Linked DNA regions of Mus musculus: all the other regions are reported to be linked to region 3. The links are microRNA targets in miRTarBase. Many come from high-throughput screens and were not tested one by one. Region 3 holds a microRNA gene; each other region holds the end of a gene's coding sequence.

Evidence for each region. The annotated mature microRNA mmu-miR-3966 reads AGCUGCCAGCUGUAGAACUGU and lies in region 3 at 3,622-3,642, opposite strand. An mRNA with a match to its seed (bases 2 to 7 or 8) in the 3' UTR can be bound and repressed. Matches are read on the target gene's strand: a 7mer-m8 pairs with bases 2 to 8, a 7mer-A1 pairs with bases 2 to 7 and ends in A, and an 8mer does both.
Region 1: miRTarBase lists Styx as a target of mmu-miR-3966. Seed matches in the 3' UTR shown: 7mer-m8 at 3,596-3,602.
Region 2: miRTarBase lists Plekhf2 as a target of mmu-miR-3966. Seed matches in the 3' UTR shown: 8mer at 6,068-6,075.

Annotation. Positions count from the first base shown.
Region 1 is chr14:45,372,940-45,380,142 of GRCm38, forward strand. Styx (serine/threonine/tyrosine interaction protein) reads left to right here. Exons shown (of 11, transcript NM_019637.3): 11 at 573-3,945. The coding sequence ends at 646. It overlaps Gnpnat1 (glucosamine-phosphate N-acetyltransferase 1), which reads right to left. Exons shown (of 6, transcript NM_019425.2): 6 at 3,482-5,547. The coding sequence ends at 5,400. Among named protein-coding and RNA genes, the nearest start is that of Gnpnat1, 12 kb to the right of the region's middle.
Region 2 is chr4:10,984,066-10,991,268 of GRCm38, forward strand. Plekhf2 (pleckstrin homology domain containing, family F (with FYVE domain) member 2) reads right to left here. Exons shown (of 2, transcript NM_175175.4): 2 at 4,597-7,203. The coding sequence ends at 6,526. It also overlaps the pseudogene Gm2401. Among named protein-coding and RNA genes, the nearest start is that of Plekhf2, 20 kb to the right of the region's middle.
Region 3 is chr10:97,419,932-97,427,134 of GRCm38, reverse strand. Mir3966 (microRNA 3966) reads right to left here and starts at 3,657; the gene lies at 3,573-3,657. The region is part of intron 1 of Gm34114 (a long non-coding RNA gene); the gene reads left to right.

The DNA of each region.
Region 1 (7,203 bases), not on the chromosome of region 3:
GACGCCCTCTTCTGGAGTGTCTGAAGACAGCTACAGTGTACTTACATATAATAAATAAATCTTAAAAAAAAAAAAAGTCTCAGTCCTGGGTGATGGAGGCAGGAAGATTATATCAAGACCTTGTCTCAGAACAAAATGAAAAAAGTGATTAATACATAAAAAAGTGTGTTTCAAGTTCAACAGTGCAATTCAAGTTATCTCAATTTCTCTTTGCTCCTGTCTTGAGTTTTTGTTGTTTTTAAGCTTTATTATGAGTGTTTGCCTGCATGTATGTACACACACATATACTACGTGCATGCCAGGTTTCTGAGAAGATCAGAAGATGGCAGCAAATGTCTGGAACTGGAGTTATAGATGGTTGTAAGCCACCAAGTAAATACTAGGAACCAAAGCTAGGTCCTCTGAAGGAGCAGTGGGTTCTTAACTGCTGAGCCATCCTTCCTACTATGTAGTGCTGGATGGCCCAGAATTAGCCATGTAGCCCAGGCTAGCTTGGAACTCACCTAGCTACTTTGCTGCTTGTGGTATCCCAACGTGAAGTTCTCACTGTGCGTTCATTCAATAACCTGTAGGTAGTGTGAAGAGAACACATGAGGAAGATGACGACTTTGGAAACATGCAAGTGGCAACCGCACAGAACGGCTGACCTGTGAGGACTGTTACATGGGTGTGAGCTTCCATCTGGAAAGGAGAGGATCCTAGTGATGATAATGTGAAATGGTAAACTCACAAATACTTTCTTTTCAATTATACATTGCTTCCAGACATGTTTCTCTGCAACACTTTAAGATGTTGGACTTATGCAGTAGATGGCACTGATGGGTGATGGGTTTACTTAAAAAAAAGAGAAAAAAAGAAACAAAAAAACCTTTATGGTTTTATTATAAACCAAGAATTTTGGACTTGCAAAGAGGTATTATTGCAATAATGCACTTTTCATACTTGAAATTTATTTGTATGATATAAAGTTATTACTTTAAACAAAATACAAGTTAGGGGGATTTGTTTATAGATTTTGGATAATTTATAACAAAAAAATTTCCTAATGTTTCCTAAAAACTCATTTTGTGTTATATATATTACATTTAAGGTAATTTTACAGTTCAATTTTATGATGAAGCCTCTTACAAAAACATTAACAAAATGTAGAACTTGTCCACATTTTTTAGTATAATTCAGTAACTTGATTACCATTTTTTTAAACTTCTTGGTCCCGTATCTTTAAATCATGACTTTAGCCAACTAGCCTACTTTACAATTTAATACAGTTAATACTTCCTTTCTAATTGCCTCCCTTATTCTAAATGAGAAAAGTTGAAATGATTAAAGAAAGAGGTCTTACTTTCTAAAACCAGATACTCCAAAAAATAAGGATAGTGTTATATTTTCCACATGACTTTTTTCTCTTTGCTGTTTAAGCCAAATGTAGACTTGGTCTTTTCAGAGTTGCTGAGCTCTTCTAACTTTTGTCCAAAATGGTTCAAAGTAGACCAAACCAATGTAGCACTGTTTCTTCAATATGAAACCCCCAAAAGAAAAGTGCCTTGCATCAACAAACAAGCAAATCCTCATGACTTCTAAATTAGTATATAAAGCAGTGAACAGCTATTAACGTTTTTCTGTAATTTCTTGTTTTAAAATCATAAATTAAATCTGATGCTTGAAGAAAGTAAATTATTTGGAATGAGACACTTCCTTCTATTTTCTGTTAATTATTTCTCTGAGGTTCAGCTGACAGCTTTGCTTTGAAGATGTATCCATTGGGGAAAGCAATTTGTGGGTGGCTTCAGTGTATTGTAGATTACTGTTTTAACTTGTTCCTAAATTAATTCAAATTTGTACCATAATTTGCATTAGCAAAATCATTTTATGGCTCTTTAGTTTTCCATGTTTTTATCTATATGTATAAAAGTTGTTCTACAAAAAACATTTTACTACTGTAAATGTGATGTGCAGAAGAGAGAAGTGTTTTTAACTTTTGTACATGATGACTTTAGGGTAGCACAAACACAGCTCCTTTATATATATATAGCTCACGTGTCTCAGCCCTCTTTCGAGGTGCTTTACGGTTGGGAATGATGCCCGCACACTCCCAGGGTACCATGAGGCACTGTGTAAGGTAACAGGTTGCACTTAAGTTCCTTGCTTTGCTCACCACCCTATGACATCAACAGTATAGAAAGGTTCTTTGTCCTTCACAGTAGGAGCCTGAATATAAACCAGAATTACTGTTACCTTGATTTCTAGCCTCTTCTGGTTTCCCATCCCATCTCCTATCTTTCAGCTCTGAAAAAAAGCATTGCTTTTAATTCTGTTGTGTCACAGGCATGGTGGTCTAGCAGAGCCAAGATTACATTGGGTATTCAAAAATCCCTGTATACATACAGGCCAACAAAGATCTCTCTTGGAGTCAACCCATAATCCATGGCTCACTGAACAGAAATTGTGATTAAAGCAATCTCTATTTTAAAAAAATTGGATTTTCAAGATGAGACATGTGAAGTAACTTTTTAAAATAAGTTTTATAAAAATACATGTTCCTCTTTAAATAGGAGTCTGTCCAAAAACAGAGGTTATTGACATTCATTTGTAGCTGGTAATTTTCCATTTTTCTATCCACTGTCATTTTTTTCTTCTCACATAAAGTGCCTATCCAGCACGATATACTGGAGACAGTCTCAGACACTAGGGACTGCCACCATGTTGAGCACAGTTGATGTGGACAGATGAAGTTTGTCCTTTCATAAGAAGCCTCCAAGTTTCTTTTCTTCCTCTGTATTTACTGTCAGTAGCTGTCTTAGGTTCCATTTCTAGTGATGTTTTGTAAGTTAACTATGATAAATTTATCCAATCATGATTTATTCTCTAGACAACTTGAATAATGTATGAATGTCCACCCAGTTTCAGTATTAAATATGAAAGCTGGGTTCATAATTAAAACTATACATTTTCTTATCAAAACTTAGGGAACTTCATTACTCCCCATTTGAAAGTTTGAGACAGCTCCTGGAAACTGGAGTGGAGAAGGGAGTCTTCTCCTAGTTTAACTGATTCATGCTAGTTTCTTGTCTATTAGATGTTATACCAACTCTATAGTAGGAATGTTCAAGTGTGATAACTTTGCTACCAACTTTCAACCGCTTGTAGAACAGAATATTCATTTGAAGGGGTGTAGGGCTGTACTTAATCTACTTAATCTGAGTCTAGAAGTAATGTCAGAAAATGCTAAGCATGTCCTTTGTAATAAAACATAAGGTTCTTAATTGTTTAACTGCTATGGAATTCACATGAATTAGAAGTATTTAAGTGCAATCTTGAATTATGAAGTTGGATGTATATATTAGGATGTCAACTTGATGTAAAGTAAATGAGCAGTTACCTGATGGATCTTTTTAAATAACCGGTTTAATTCACAATCCTAAAGCATAACTTCACGTCAGTATTTACAGTATCTTTGTCCATTCAACAACACTCCAATGAGCAAATAGTAGGAAATAGCTGAGAATTACTCAAGGATTTTGTTTATTTATTTTTATTAGGAAAATAAGTTTCTAGAGTCTTGAGTGCTGGATAATTCTTTTGTCTTTCCCATCCATGGCAGCTAAAAAAAAAATCACTCAAAATATTCAGGTTTACATGTTCTGCTCTCTTACAGGGAGCTACCATACCTCACAGTTCAAAGTGTTTTCTCAATCAGTAACATGATACTGACATGTAATTGCAATTTACTATGCAGCAAAAATGACTCAAGAACAGTAACATATGTGTCTCTTTACCTCTGTATAGGCAATTGCTTACGTTATTCTACTTTTAACATTTGTACTCAGATAAAATGCTTATGTATGTATAGGAATGTCACAGTGCAAGATGCTGCTAGCCTGGGCACAAAGTATTAAAATTATTTTGTGAAGACTGGTGGTTGTATTAAAACTCTTGTGCCATTGTACTTGCAATGATTGAGAAGCTCATTCATATTCCTTATGCCTCAAGACCTCTTTGTCTTCTGGGTAGAAGTAACCCAGCTTTACTCCCACAGATTAAGGTGAGTAAAAATTTAATAATATTAAAACGGTTTCAGTTGGTGACATGCTACAACTGTTTCTGTAAGACGATTTAAGAGAAAACACAACTCCATGGGTTTTATTGAAATACTAACATCACAGACTGTCTTACCAAAGAGTTTAATGTTAAAAAATAAAGTGCTAAATTTTACTTTGGGGAAAAGGCTTTTTTTAACATAGATAAAACCTAATGAAGCTGTGTCATGGTTACAGAACTAAAGAACTCTGAAAATCAAAGACAAACCTAATGACTGCAGGAAAATCCAAAGTCCAATTGAAGTACAAAGATACTTAAACCTAGGGTATTAAGAGCCAGGTCTTAACCTAATAGACTGAAGCTGATCATGGTGGTACATGCCTGGAATACCAGTTCTTAGAACATGTGTGAGGGGTTCCAGGATATCCTGGGCACCCTGTCTCAACAAAAAAGAAAAACACAAGACAAGATTCTAACATGAAAGACTATTCATATAAACAAGTTTAATGTAATAACATGGAATGCAAAAGATTAGAACCACTATTAATAAAGTATCTGATTCTATTTTAAAAATCATTTAAATAAAACAGAAAGGACAGGGATCAGAATAATAGTACCATTATAATCACATTAAATAGAAAAGCTACCATCATTTTAAAGCTATACTAAATTTAGGAAGTACTGAACATTTTTTTGTGACTCAAAGGCTTCAAATGTCAATGGTACGGAAACCAGGGTAGCAGCTCTGGGAGCTGCTCATTGACAAATGAAAAGGACCCTGGATAATTCTAATACCATGTGACAGGTGGCAGGTGGTACAGTATCTGCACAAAACTTTACACTTAGTAAATCGTTATTTAAGCTGTTGTACCTTGTCCCATTTTTCTTTTGTTGCTTTAAAAAGACTGCAGGGTTAGGATCAACAACAAATATGTATCTGGTGGTCATGATAACAGAAGTGTCCAATGAGAAATGGTGCACCTTAAGTCTATTTAGATGTATGAGACAAAAATAATTTTATGGTAAGAAACACCCTTATTCAATATATATGTATATACATATATTTAAAAATGAGCAGCATAGAGCAGACATGTTTACTACCCATACACTTGACTACCAAGAAATGAAGACAAACTTTAGAAAAATACAATGCAAGAAAAGATTCAAGTTGAAAATATATTCCTTTGGTTAAAAATCCTCCCCTTTATTTGTATTCCCAGCATCCTCCCAGGTTACTACACACTGGCACACCACAGTGTACTTCAGTCTAGTAGTTAGGGAGCTCACTGGGCTGCAGCAACAAAAATGAACTCTAAAACAGTTATTTAAGCTTTGTAGCATTAACCTCTTGATGGTGGTTTTTACTTTAGGAACCTCCGACACATGTAATTTTCTTCAGATACTGTATAGTCAAACTTTTTGTAGAAACCAACATTTTGTGGTAGACATTCAAGGGTGATCTTGTAACAGTTCAATTTCTTGCTTAGCAAAGTAAGAGTTGATAATAACCTGAAAAAAAGGATAAGAAGACAGCATTAACCAAAATGGGCCTTGATAATGACACAGATTAGTGTTACATAAAAATAATAGTATTGATTCAGTATATATAAGCTTAGATCGTGGTCTTTCCAATAATACTAACCCCACCCCCACCCTACCCCCACCCGAGACAGGGTTTCTGTCCTCGAACTCACTCTGTAGACCAGGCTGTCCTCAAACTCAGAAATCCACCTGCCTCTGCCTCCCGAGTGCTGGGATTAAAGACGTGCGCCACCACTGCCCAGACCAATAATACTCCTTTAAGTGTTCAGATTATTAAGTTGATAAACATTTAAGTCGCTGAAGCATTTTTATTCTGTTTCAAACACGTTAGCCTCCAGACTGTTAATAAATAACTCACCCTCTTTTATTATGGGCGGAGGGACACACCAGCAGCACAAGGGTGAAGGTTGTTTCCTGTAGTTCTCTCCTTTCTGCTTTCTTGGGATCAAACTGAAGATTACTCCCAAGTGTGGCAACTCTCACCCCCTTGCTAACCATATGAGAGGCTGGAGTGCTAGGCTGCTTGCCAAACCTGTGTGAAGCTCTAGCTTCAGTCCCAATGCTGGGGTTAGGGGAACCAAACACAGCAAAACAAACAGAAAGACACTAAAATGCATCAGGTTTTAAAAAACATAGCCCATGTTATTTTTTTGTGAAAGGTCTCTAGCTAGCTTTGGTGACACAGACCAAACAGGAAGCTCTGGAATTAAAGGTCGTCTTCCACCACAAAGCAACAGGAGACCTTAACTCAAAAAAGAAACCCCAAAATATCTTTGTTCCAGGTTGGGGGGTGTAGCTCAGTGATATTGTAAGGTTGCAGGGTGGGGGTACCTTTATGTTTTCTCCAACTGAAAGCATTTGCCAGGTTCACATAAAATGAGTATGAAATAGCTATGTTCTTGAGACAGTCTCATTGGCTGGCCTGGAACTGGCTATGCATTAACCCGCAGATCTGCCTGCCCCTGCCTGTTGAGAGCTGTCTTCAATCATTTTATAAAAGCTACTTTTTAAAGGAAATATGGATCAGATTAACTCAAGATTAGTCTGAATCGATTTAATTTCAGTACTAGGAAAAAGAGAGATCTCAGAGTTTGAGGCCAGCATGGTCTACAGAGTGAGTGTTCAGCCAGGGATGTACAGAGAAACCCTGTCTGAAAAAAAGCAAACTGTGCTAACTGAAGGGTCTTCTGTTGTGTGTATATTTAGACGCGATCTTGTCATATAGTCCAGGCTGGTCTTGAGCTTGAGGTGACTGTCCTGCCAATTTTATAGTTAGGCACATCCTTTGTCATTCTTGAAAAACAACGTTCATGTTCTAATGTTTTAGACATGACTAGTTGCCTGGATTAGAATAGTAGAAACTGGTGCAGTTCATACATCAAGGATCCCAATGCTTAGGGACTACATGATGCATACCCGATGCCTATTTATTGAGTAGACTCATTAAAACTCAGAGGTTATATCTAAATACAAGTTCTTCTACTCATAGCCTGGCAGTTCTCCTATGCAAATATTAAACATTGCCTTTGATTTGTATCTGACAAAGGAGCTGAATACTCACTGTGACTTGCTTGAGTCTGAGAATGCTAGTATTGAGAGTTAAGGAGGTTACTTTTCATAAGC
Region 2 (7,203 bases), not on the chromosome of region 3:
CAGAGCTAACAGAGAAACCCTGTCTTGAAAAAAAACAACAACAACAAAAAAAAATCAAAAGAAAACAAAAACACAAAAAAACATATTTTGCCTTCCTTCCTTGCTCCTTTCCTTTTATTCCTTCCCTCTTCCCCTCTTCCCTCTCTTCTTCTTTCTTTCTCTTTCTTTCCTTCCTTCCTTCCTTCCTTCCTTCCTTCCTTTCTTTCTTTCTTTCTTTCTTTCTTTCTTTCTTTCTTTCTTTCTTTCTTTCTCTCTTTCTCAAAATGAACAGTTTGTATACACTGTGAAAGGCATTCCTCGTCCGGTTTCCTTCTGAACACTTCATTGTTAGGGTCCAGCAAGAGGGCCAAGGCAAGGGACGAACCAGGAAAGAACCTGCCGACAGGACTTTCCCAGGGCACAGAGCCTGCGCAGGCTGAGCAATGCGCAGGGCAGCCTGGGACAGGAGGCAGAACCCAGAGAGGGGACAGGCCCCCCTGGGGGAGCAACCTGCCTTGAGTTGTGAGAGCTAAGAGCATGCGGAGAGGGCCTCCTGAAGAGAGCAGCACTTATATATCCAGTTATAGATCCAAGATCAGGTGAAGAGATCTTCTACACGAGGAGGCCAAGGATCTCCTGGGTAAGGCCAGAGTTGAGAGAAGACAGATGTGGCGTGAAAGATCAGTTTGCATACATACTTAGGGTTACCACTGCTGTGATGATGCACCATGACCAAAAGCAACTGAGGAGGAAAGGGTTTATTTCATGCACAGTTCCATAGAACAGTTCATTATCAAAAACAGTGAGAGCAGAAACTCAAGCCGGGCAGGAACTGGGGCAGAGGCCATGGAGGGAGGCTGCTTACTGACTTGCTCTTTTATTTTCTTTTTCCAATTTTTTATTAGATACTTTCTTCATTTACATTTCAAATGCTATCCAAAAAGTTCCTTATACCCTCCTCCTGACCTGCCCCCCTACCCACTCACTCCCACTTCTTGGCCCTGGTGTTCCCCTGTACTGAGGCATATAAAGTTTGCAATACCAATGGGCCTCTCTTCCCAATGATGGCCAATTAGGCCATCTTCTGCTACATATGCAGCTAGAGACACGAGCTCTGGGGGTACTGGTTAGTTCATATTGTTGTTCTACCTATAGGATTGCAGACCTCTTCAGCTCCTTGGGTGCTTTCTCTAGCTCCTCCATTGGGGGCCCTGTGTTCCATCCAATAGCTAACTGTGAGCATCCACTTCTGTATTAGTCAGGCACTGGCAGAGCCTCACAAGAGACAGCTATATCAGGGTCCTTTCAGCAAAATCTTGCTGGCTCTTAAAGGGATATTTAACCTGCTTCTACCAGGGGTGGCTCCACCCACAAGGGTTTCAAAGGACTGGGCCCTCCCCCATCAGTCACTAAGAAAAAGCCCTCCAGGCTTGCCAGCAGCCAGATCTTATGGAGGGTTTCTCAATGGAGACGCCTCAGCTCTAGTATCTCTTAACTGTGTCAAGTTGACATAAAACTAGTCAGCAGAGTGAGCAAATCGTTTAAATGTCTTCTAAAAGGGACTTGTCTGTGTGTATGCCATGTGTTTGGCTGCCCTTGGAGGCCAGCATAGAGGAATGGATTCCTTCAGGCTGATTAGCCTGATGTGGGCGCTGGGAACGTAGCAAGTTCAGGGTATTAAAATTGTGTGTGCACCTGCTCACTTGTGAGAGCCATTTGTATGTAAGTGTAAAACCTGAAAGGGCATTGATACCTCTGGAGTATCTGGAGTTACAGGCAATTGTTAATTTGCCAGATTTAACCCCTGTTACCTGGAACCCAAGCAAGCACTCTTAGCTGCTCAGCCATCACCTCAGCCCTTACTTATTTTCGTGGTCCTTTTATAATGGCTATACTAATTTACATTCCTACCCAGCATGCCAGAGTTCCCTTCCCCACACCTTTACCAACACATGCTACCTTCATCTTGATAATAGCCATGTGAGCTCATCGTGGCTTTGTTCCTTGGTGACTAGGGACACTAAACATTTCTAAAAGTATAGGTGCTAATGCTCTGTATGTCTTTAGAAAAATCTCTGCAGTTAAGTCCTTTCTAGTAGTAAGTGGGCAGAAAAGGCATTTACATTACATTCATGCAGCTCTCACTAACACTGGCGTTGTCTTCAGCACGTCCTAGATGACGGACGATTTCTGTCTTCTGAGCCACTGCATATTCAGAAGTGTAATTTACCCACTGACTGGAAGAGAAAAGCTCATGAAATTCACCAGTGTTTTATTTACCTGGAAATTCCTTATGAAGTGTAATGAGTTTTCTATTTCACTAGAAGACAGCCCGACAGCCCCTAGTCCTTTCTGGAGGCACTGTGGGCACTGTTTTGTGGATCAGTAACTGGAGTCAGTAGAAAACACAGGAGGAAGTCTTGGTAACCAGGGCAGGAAAGAGCTGGCCATGGTGGTACTTGCCTGTAATCCCAGGATTTGGGAGTCTGAGGCACAAGAATCCATCAGAAATTCCAGTCTAGCTCAGCCATGAATAAATTACATAAATTAGCAAGACTTGTCTCAGAAAAATAAAGGGAAATGTGAAAAAAAGGAAAATATTTGCAAATTGTTTTTGATTATAGGATACTTAGGGAAAAGATAACATATTTATCACTAACCCTGATGCTGCCCTCATGTGGTTCCAGAGCTTGGGAGCCTGGATGTAATCCTCAGTCATGATGCTGAGTGGGAAACCAGCCAAGCTTCTGTCCCAGAATAAAACACTATAGTATCCAGTTTTAATACCCTGAACTTGCTACGTTTCCAGTGCCCACATCAGGCTAATCAGCCTGAAGGGATCCATTCCTCTATGCTGGCCTCCAAGGGAAGCCAAACACACATGGCATACACACAGACGTAAACATAAGTCCCTTTTAGAAGATATTTAAACGATTTGCTCACTGTGCTGGCTAGTTTTATGTCAACTTGACAGTTAAGAGATACTGGAGACACACACACACACACACACACACACACACACACACACACTGACCCAAAAGAGTGCAAGGAGTTTATTAACTTTAAATAAATTAAACTGAAAAAAATTATTTGATACTAAGAGTGTCAAGTGTTCAATAATGCTAAACAAATGAACCATGAGAACATCTTAGTGAACTAAATGGGTCCCCAGAGGCTACAGTGAATGATTTCACTATAAATCCCCTACCCCAGCCCCCAAAGAGCAAAGATAAACAGAGACAGAAAGTGGGTGCCCAAGGCCAGGGGGTCAGGGAGTGCCTCCTGGGCGGGCAGGATAAAGCTATCCAAAGCTCAGTGATAGCTTGAATGAACATGAATCACTGAACTGAACATCTCAAACAGGTGGACTGCAGGTAGATAAATAAAATGGAGGATGTTTCAAATAAAGCTGCTAAAATTTGTAAGTTAAGGCACACAATTACATTTTCTCCATACAAACTCGCAGGCTCATGCACAAACAATGCAAGTGGTAAATTCTTTATTGCCCCTGATAAAAACGTGTATCTCCAAAGCTTTTCAACTATCATTTTAATGTGGCTTACTTACTAGGACAATTAACTGGATAGCAAAGGGGGTAATACCAGTCAATCTCCCTGTTCTTTCTACTCTTGGAAAATTAAGATGTTAAGAGTCACCGAGAGGGGGACAGCCTAAGAGCAGCTCGCAGAAGCACCATGGTTCACCTCACCGCCTTTTCTGCAAAGCCTATCAGAGAGTCCACCTAAGCATACACCTTGCTTCGGGTGGCTGCACCAATCAGCCTTTTTACCACATTGTGGTTGCTCACAAGTGTTACAGGAATGGCCACTTCTGGAGCAATTGGGCTCCGATGATCCACTGCCCAAAAGTAACGGAGAAAACTTTGTTGCCCTCAACCTGGACCAGATCCGGCTTTGGATTGGCTGTGGGGCTCACTTCTCTAAGCCTACAGAGAAACTTCTGGGTCTTTCTGCCTCTCCTCTCCTCCACCCTCCACCACAATCAGATGATGATCACCAACTTGGAGACTGCAGAGGAGGAGAGCAGGAGAAATCCTCTTGGTGTCTCAGAAAGCAGAATCAGAGCCCAGAGAGACAAGCAAGCCGACTTTAGCAAGCACAGCTGTGTTGCCTCAAGGTCAAGGACCTGTAAAACTTGTGCAGAGTTTTGTATTGGGTTTGAGGATCAATAAACAGAGTTTCCCAAGTCAAAAAAAAAAAAAAAAAAAAAAAAAAAAAAAAAAAGCAATTCTGCCAATCCTGCATCAGCACCTCCTAAAGAGTGGACAGGGCTGGAGTGTGGCTCAGCTGGTGGGTGCTTGCCTAGAAGAACGAAGGACCTCAGTACTCTGGGTCAGTCCAGCCTGCTATTCTAGTCCTCTGGATGTGGAGGCACGAGGATCAGTTCAAGGGAATTCTCAGCTTCGCAATTAGAGCTACTACTTGCTACATAGTCCGTTTGAGGCCAAAATAGGTCTATCTAAAAACAAAAAACTATTCTTCATTAGTGTCTACATCCTAAGCATTCATATCTAATATATACTAAGGTGGAATTATGCATAATATCTTAGTTAGAAAAGGAAGAAAATATTCAATTACAATATAAAAACACAGGAAATAAGCTGCAAAATATTTTTATTGTAAAAACAGTCAACTGAGGTCGACAATGCAAATGTTATCTCAGGACATTTCCCCTTGGTTTCTGAACTTCCAAGTTCCCATCAGCATTTCTCTGGTTTTTATGGTCCTTTCAAACATGCTTACTGACTGCATGTATATGCTGCTCTGAGACAAACACAAATCCATCCATCTGATAGTAAAACCAAACAAAACAAAAAGCAGGAACAAAGCCCCTAGCCTGGTTCTATTGTGCTTTTTTTCACATTTCCTACAGGGAGACCTATGTAGCTCACACACTTTCAAAACTGAGCAGCAAAGTAAAATTAGTACTGTAACCACAAAGCCAAATACCAATGACTTTCATTCACAAGTTACTGACTCAAACCCTAGGACATCTGCAGAATTATGCAGGTTTTAAAGTTTGAAAAAGGGAAACTGGGTTTGAAAAGAACTCTGAAAAAAAAAAAAAAACAAACCAAAACAAAACAACAACAAAACAAAACAGACCTTTCAGCTTGGTTTCCCACATTTGAAAACCTAGTTACTTAAGCATGCCAGGGGCCAGAATGTGCCTGGCACGTCCAGTGCTATGCAGTAAGCAGGCCTACAGCCTAATGGCTGCCTCCAAACATAAAGAGAATAACTACCAGTTCTCAAAGCAATCTCGGACAATGGTCACAATTTAGAAATATCAACTGCTACTCTATTTCCATATATTGCAAAATGATTTCAGAAACAGATTAAACATACAATTGTTTTACAAAAATAAAAATTGTTTGGGGCTTCATGAACTCTGTAAAATACAATACCACGTTGTAAATCAAGATAATTTCACAAAAAAAATTGACTTGCAGACAGGAAACCTAGTCAAACTCCGATCTCTTCCAGATCTCTAAGACTCCATGTTCTCCTGGGAGGATTTTCTTAAGACTTTTCATTTTTGTCAGGTGGTAGTGGTGCCTGGGGAGGCAAAGGCAGAGGCAGATGGATTTTTGAGAATTCAAGGCCAGCCTGGTCAACAAATCGAGTTCCAGGATAAGCAAAGCTACACAGAGGAACCCTGTTGGAAAATATAAGGGTTTCCTCAGATTTTTCCTTTTAGAAATAATGTAAAGCAAATAAAGTTATTTGTAAAAATATATCAGGAAAGTAGAAGCTAGTGGGATATGCCACTTCTATACTAGTGATGAGTTTCAAATCGAATCCCGAACAGTGGCAACGGGCTAAACATATGTGACCATTATAATTTGGTGCATAAAAGATGTAAAAATATAATCACAACTATTTTATGAAAAATATTCATATAAGATTGGAGAAACCTCTAAATTTAGTTCCTCATAGCTGTCAAATAAATATGCTTACCTATATCCATCAAACACTCATTCTCCACCTGTAAGAGCACCAGTGTGTCTAAATCAATCAAACAAGAAAGAAGGTAGGGCTTACGTTTATTTCAGTGACAGTGACACTGCTGCCACAGTAAGGCACCACTTGGTATTGAGAAAAGAGAATAAAGGATTTCCAAACCATGCTCTGTCACTGGTGTCGTAACCTTGACATCGACTGCTTGGGGAAAAGCCAGATACCAAGCACATCATACTCTTGTTCCCATCATTCTGTGCTTTTAGATTTTCCACATCAGGGGGAAATAAATGTAATACAAGATCTGTTAAATAAACATTCTTTCCAACTTACAAGGAAATAATCTAGAAATAAGGACAGTAGAAAGCCAAGACCCTATCGGATGTATCTGCAAGTTTGTCCCTGTGAGAGAGTGCAGAGGGGAGCAGAAAGCATGGGGCTGCTTTCCATAGGATACAGAGAGGCACAGAGGTTAAGACTTCTCAGGCAGTCATGGCTAAAGCAAACTGAGAGCGCCCCCAAAGCTGACTCTCAGGCAGTCAATTAAATACTTCACAGCATATCCTTAGTCACTGCTATCATCATCGTCGTCGTCATCAGATGCATCATTTAAAGGAGACTTCAACGACTGACTATAAGAGTCTGATCTAGTCGGCTGACACGCGGCCATGTCCCCCGTGGAAAGCAGGTCATAGCAGAAGTCACAAATCCGCACAGGCTTAGAAGACTGGCTGGGAAGAAGAAATCGCTTTTCAGAGCAGGGACCACAAACAACAAAGCCACATTTGCGGCAATGGTGCCGCCGATTGACTGGTGTGAATTTTGCTTTCTGACAGCGCATACACACGGTGGCCTCAGAGTCAGGAACCCAGACAGCAGCATGCTCGTTGCTGGGCGTCTTCCCACTTTTGGAGAGTAAATCAGTGACACACTTATTTATGTGATTCATCCACTCTGACTTCTCCGTGGCAGTGGCAGCATAAACTGCAAACGACTTAGTCGGTGTCTTAATAAGCCATCCATTCCGTAATTCCCCTTCATCTTTGATGGAATCAATGGTGACATTTTCCAAGGGAATAATATGCTGTTTGTTGTATTTTTTCTTCTGGATAACAATATTGCCGTATACTAGAATATCATTAAATAAGAAAAACTGCCTTGCTTTAGGCTTCTTTCTGCACAACTTAGTCAACACTCCTTCTCCAATAAGCACTCGCCCAGGGATGGTCAAGGGCTGACCAGC
Region 3 (7,203 bases):
TGTGCAGACTGATCAGAATCCATTCTTTTTGTAAACACAGAATTAATGTTTTGTTGAGAACTTGATATGCAGAATGTTTGTCAGACCACATGACATTGCTTTTGTTGCCAGAATGTCACTTTGCTGCCTCCTAACCTATTTCAGCCAAACTTCATTGAAATAGAAAAATACTTGGCTGAAGTATTTTTCTAAAGGTCAGGCTTTTCTGATGTTTATCTTGCTAGCTATCAGCATGATTCATTTACCCTTTGAGGATGATCATGAGAAAGAATTGGAGATTGTTTTGTTTTATGAATGAAAATGAATCTGAAGTGAAATTAGAAGGCAAACTTGTTTTTTCCTCCTTTCATTCTACAAGAAAAGCCAGAGAGTAGAGAGATATCTGCTTACCTACTATATTGCATCTGAAGTATCTCTTCCATGAATTTGAATGTCACACACTGACATGCCCTAAAATGTTCTTTTATTAGTTTTTCTCAGCCATTAAGTGGTTACACAAATTCCTATTATTTTAAACAAATAGATCATACCAAAACAGGTCAAGACTGGATTTTTTTTTCATGTGTTGGAATTTGGTAATGTCTCACCTGGTATTAGTTGGAAATCTAAACTTTAAATTTAGCCATTCTTTTCATTTCATTTTTTTAATATTACTGGGAATGGAAGTCAAGGAGTTTCTCACACTAAGACTAGTGCTGAGCTAAGCCCCTTGCCGTCACTGCTCTCTATTAGAACTACAATAGCCATGTGCAAAACACAATCCCAGAGGCTGCCATCACTTCCAAATTTATAGACTGTGACATGGAAGGGTGAGAAACAATGCATTTCTCTCCTTAGTTGCTTTTTGTCAGTGTTTAATCACTGTACCAGAACTGTAACTAAACCATCCTTACACACTTTTTCATACTAATCTTTCAACTCTTTAGAATACAACATACAAGTTTTATAGTTATATAAATCTTACCCTTCCCTCTCCAACTCCTTCCATTTCTCCCCCATCCCCTATCAAATTAATGGCCTCTTAATCTTTAACTCTTATTGCGTCACGTTTACAAATACAGCCTTGTGGGTTCATTAATGTTGTTCCTATATATGCATGTTGAGGGGTAACCATCTGGGATCAGGTGGATTATCAGGGATCTTTGCCTGATAAAAGACTGATTCTTCCTCTTGGCAGCCATTCATTCATCACATGGAGCTCTTCACCTGGAGGACTGGGCCCTTGTAATATTTTCCCAATCTATGTAAGCATGGGAACTAATGTTACTGTTGTGCAGGTGTTGCTAAGATGGCCATATTGTTGATATTTCTAGGATACAATTTGGCTGCCATACATAAAAGGTATAATGTCACAGCAAAGGACAATGCCCTCTGGCTCTTACAACATTTTTGTTCCTTGTTTCTGAAATGTTCCCTGGGACTAGGATTTTTTTTTATGGGTTTGTGTTTGTCAATCTCTCACCTAGTATTGGTGAGATTTGTGTTTTTGAACTATCAAGTAAGGTACAGCAACTGATGGCTAGTCAGTGTTTATATTTGACCAGTTGTTAATACCTGTAATGGCCTCCACCACTTGCAAAAAGAAACTTCTTTGATGATGGATGTGAGCTACACTTATAGGTGGGTATAAAAATATTAGGATACAAGTAGAAAACACCAGTTTTGGAAAGTGGAAATATTACATTCTCCTCCAGAGTCTATGACCTCACTGAATATATTGTCCAAATCAGAAATATTTCTTCAAATATCTGCCATCTTATTGCCGTGGAGGCTTTCAAGATCCTTTATCCTAACTTTTGTAAGTCATGGAACTTACTTTTGTCAGTTAACTATTACTGCAGGTAGTTGTGTGCTGTCACGTGGTGCAGGGAATCAAATCTGGGTCATAGGCAAGAGCAGCAGTGCTCTTTCTTGCTAATTCTTCTCCCTAGTACCATCGTTTGATTTTGTGCCTGATGAGATGTATTGTTTTTTGTCTTGCCGTAGAATCATTTATCTATGTCCCTGAATTCAATTTGCTTAGGAATTTTGGGTCTATACCATAACTGGTAGTGGCCTACATTCTCCTTCATTCCACTTTCTTTAATTTTGCTATTAGTATAATTCTATCATAAAATAAGTTTGTGTCTCTCCTTTTCTTTTTCTAAAACAGACTGCACAGGATTGCCATCTATTTTGTGAAGACTTGGCAGAGTTTTCCAATGGAACCATCCACATATAGAGTTGTTCTGCAAGCCTTTTACGCATTCAGATTTGTTTTTGCTTATGATACTAGCCACATGGTTTAATTCTATTTAGTTGAGATGTTATAGTCTATAACTCTGTATGAATTGATCTGTTGATAAACTATTTTCTTATACTGGCCTTTTCATAAGCACTATTTTTATGCTTTCAAGGGCTTTTTGTTTTCTGCTGTTTGGTTACATTGATTTTTATTTGCCTGTAACTATTTTACCATTTTCCTACTTTAAATTTACTTGACTCTTGGTTTTCTTTTCTTTTTTTTTTTTTAATTATATTGTTGACTTACCAATTTAAGACCTTTGTTTATTTCTTAGTATAAGCATATGTCTTGTGAGTTTTATCTTCAAAACTGTGTTGTGTGCACTCCAGTCCTCCAGATATTTTGACTTATTCAAATTTTATCCCTGTGTAAATTTGCGTACTCCACCTTTTCTGAAATTCTTCCTTGAGCCATTAGTACCTGGGAAGTTTGTTATTCAATCTTCCAGTGGACAGACTTGTTATTCTTTTCTCTCTTTTACTAAATTTAGTTGATTTCATTGGCATAATAGAGCATACTCTTATGCTCTTATGATGTAAACACTTACAAAGTTTTGAGATTTTTCTTTTCTTTTTTACCCTTACAAAGTTTGGTCCATGTTGGAAAATATTTTATAGATGCTGGAAAAATATAAATTTAATTTCTGTCAGCTAGAGTGTCCTATTAATAGCAATTTTGCCACCTTAATGGTTTATGATGATCAGGTTTTCTACACTATATTTGTGCTGTCTGTTTGAAACGCCTATAAATTTCTAAGAGAGGACTGTTGAATTCCCTAACTACAAGGGTAGTTCAACTATTTTATAGAAATGCAATATATATATGTGTGTGTGTGTGCTTGCATGTGCATGTCATTTTACAATATGCCTATAGCACATGAAAATTGCATAATGTTTCTTAGGACACAAACTTTCTTTTACCTTCTGTGCTAGATAAGTTTTACTGAAGCATGTAGTAACACAGTGACATGCAGAGGTATGAATAGAGCCTGGATTGTGTAACTTTCATAGTTTCTCAACTCACTGATTTTCCATACATAAACTTACTTTTGCTATTTTATTACCACTGCTTCTGTCAGATTAGACATGAAGAGGATCTTTAATTCCTTTGGATCTTTTCTGAACCAATGAGAAACAATTTAGGAAAAATTCTTCCTCATAGGGCTATATTATCTAATGAAGCACAGCTGATTTCTGTTGGCTAAGTAGTCTCAAAAAAAAAAAAAAAAGTTTTCTAATGTGTCCAAGATTCAATAATCGCTGAATCAGTACATCTTTATGTAAGAGAAAAATAAGAAAACTCTGCAGCAAGCATGATGAACACAGTTTTAATTAAAAACAGTTCTACAGCTGGCAGCTGTCTTTTCCTGTGTTTTTAAGTTCTTTTAAAAAAAATCTTCTCGATTCTTAAAAACAAATTCTACCTTTTCTTATGACATATATTTTGATTTTTTCTGATAGATATGAACAAGAATCATTTTTTAATTCATATTATCGCAAATATATCAGCTTTAGTTATATGTTAGAGTCAGCCAACAAAGGGGGTGTGTGGAATAAAAGCCTGCCCCCTACTCCCTAGAGTGTGAGCTCAGCTTTGGGAAGATAACAAAACACTTATGTAAGAGATTAGTTCCTGATGTTTATTCAGTTCAGTCCACAAAATGTGCTGTTTGCTTAAAATCAAAACCCAGGTTTGCTCTTTCAGTCGGTGTCTTATGCCTTTGTATGCATTGTGCCACAGTCTTACAAAAGGTCTCAAGCATAAATCCTAAATCCTATTAGAGGTTTCTAACTTCTATCTCATTGTGTCTGGCAATATCTTCTCTTTCATCCTAAATTATCGCTGCTATGGCAAGCCGATCTTCTTACAAAGAAGAAACTAATCAAAAAAATGCTCCCAGTCTTTTTAATTTCCAAAAAAAAAAAAAAAAAAAAAAAAAAAGGAGAGCACTAAGTTCGAAATTTTATAAACTGTGTTGTAATGTCTTCAAAACTCTGATAACATTGACAAACTACTTTGAAGGAGTTTTGTTATAAAGAAACAAATCCCCAGGGCCCAGAATTCTCTTATTGCCTCCTGTCTTTATTTTCACAAGGTTTCTGTTGGAGCCTCTGGGAACATCTGGGAGGGCTCTGATAACAGAATCTAGCTGTTCACAAGACAAAGCCATTTTAGTGCTGATTTTCTTCTGTGGGGAATCTTATGTTCTCATCATTTAATATCCATCCATATCAATACCATGCTCCAAACTTGTAAATGCATTTAGTAAACTTGTGTTCCATGCAGGCTTGCTTTCCACATCACTAATGGCAAATCTGATATAACAGTTTTCACTACACCACAGCTGACAGTTTGGGGAAGTATAAAGACAGGTAAGGGATACACCGTAGGATTATAGGCTACAAAGACAATTACTTTTGTTGTTTTTGCTGTTTGTTTATCTTGTTGTTTTCTGGGTCTTTTGTTTGGTTTTGGTTTGGTTTGGTTTTTGTTCGTTTGTTTGCTTTCTTGTTTATTTGATCCACTGCTAATTAACCTACAAAGTACCAGGTTTGATTCTGGCATTTTACCCTTATATGTAATTTAGTTGATCCACTTCTCCTTTAGGATCTCTCCATCACTGGGAAGAGAGGCCCCTTGGTTTTGCAAACTTTATATACCCCAGTACAGGGGAATGCCAGGGCCATGAAGTGGGAGTGCGTGGGTAGGGGAGCAGGGCAGGGGAAGGGAATAGGAAACTTTTGGGATAGCATTTGAAATGTATATAAAGAAAATATCTAATTAAAAAAAAAAAGATCTCCCTTAGCCTGCAGTCCTGCTTACACCCTCCCACTCCAAGAACGTCCTCTTCACCTTCATGTCTAATTGAGTCTATTGGCTCATTTACCTCACTCTCTTAAAACTATTTCCTACCCCCACCCCATGATTCTCTCTCAAGAACCCTACATAAATATATACTTATGGAACTTAGAGGCTAGAATCTAGACAAGGGTCATATTATAGGGAATATGTGGTATTTGTCCAAGTCTTTGTTATTTAGTGCTGTATTACAATAATACTTATCAAAGATCCACTCCTTTGATGAAGTTTCAGATGTATAAATATTATTCTTGACCATGGGCACAAGTATACCACATCTTGAGAACTTGGTGATCCATTCTAACTTACCGTTTATGATGATTGATTATTTACTTTTAATTTACCCTACCAATGCAGCTTAAAACTACAAATCCATTTGTTAGCCCTATATAATTGTCTAGTTTAGATTCTTCATGTTATTGCAATCATGAAATGCATGTTTCTTGTAAGTAGCTTATTGAGTTAATAGCTTGATAATTGTAGATATTGCTTATTTTCCAACTCTCCATGCATTTGTTTACAAAACTTTAGTTAAAAATCATACAAGTTGACATATCCCATCATTTCATAGATGTATTAGCTTGTCTTGTGTGTACTGCAAAGTTTTGACCAGAGCAACTTAAGTCAGAAGGGGTTCACTTTGTTTCATACCCAAGGCACAGTCATCAGTGTGGGAAAATCATGGCATCAGCTGGTCACAGTTCATCTGCAATAAGGAGACAGGTCTCAGCTCCCTTTTTAGTCTACCCTAGCTCGTGGGATAATGCTGAGTATAGTTAAAGTGGCCTTCCCACCACAATTAACCTATTCTACGTAATCTCTTACAGCCATGCGCATGGGGCTTGTTTTGGAGTAATTCTAGATAAAGTTGAAATCCCAAATTAAATATGAAAATAGGACAAGTTGCTTTAAAAAAAAACACTTCATTGGAAATAACTTTTCACAAATTGCATTGCTGAGGTTTGCATTTAGCTATAGATATAGATATAGTAAATATTTGGAGCTAAAACTATGTTCTTAATTATTATTGATACAACTATTTATTGGGACTGAGATTATTAAGTCCTTCTTAGCCAATTAAAGAATATATTATTTTTTAAAAATGAAGACATTTTGTACCTAAAGATTTATGACTTGTGTAAGTTAGTTGGGAATCTATCTGCCTCAACCAGCTATATAATTCCTGGGCTTATATGTAAAGAGTGCATAATCCAATCACATGGACACTTGTTCCACCATGTTCACTGATGCTCTACTCATAAGAGCCAGATTCTGTAAAACAAAACAAACAAAAAGTACATGTCACTCAACAGAAAAATAGATAAAGAAAATGGTATAGTTATACAATGGAGTTTTACTTGGCTGTTAAATAAATAACATCCTGAAATTTGTATACAAATGGATGGAACTAGAAAAAAAATTCATTCAAAGTGAGGTAATCCAGACCCAGTATGATAAATATGGCACATAATCACTATATGTGGGTATTAACCACTAAGTAAATTACAACCAAACTACAAACTATAGACCCAGAAAGGTCAGCTATAGAGGAAAGGACAAGGGAGGGGTCACATGTATCTCCCTAGGAGAGGGAAATGCAACAAATTGCATGAGTGTACCAGGGTTGGGGGGACAGGAATGGGAGGAGAGAGAAGGGAGATGCTGTTGAAGAAGGTAACACAGGAAGAGGTAGCTAGAATAAAGGCATATTTGATGGGTGGTATGGAAACTGAATGAGTGGAAACTTCCTAAAATATATGAAAGCAAGCCTAAGGTATTCTCCAAATAATGAGGGAGACAGACATTCGGCTAACTTGTTGTCTGGTGTCACCAAAAACCGGTTCTAGTACCTCGACCAGGTTACATCCAATTGAATTGTTGGCCAAAGGGGTCCCATGAAAATTCCCCAAAGGACCATGCCTGTTGTCAAGATATTTCCTCTCCACAAACTATTATCCCATTTCATCTGTACTATTCATTTATAAATAATTCATTTATAATAAATCAGCATTTTTACATTTACGCTATTAATTATTTCTATTACTGCTATGACCATCTCT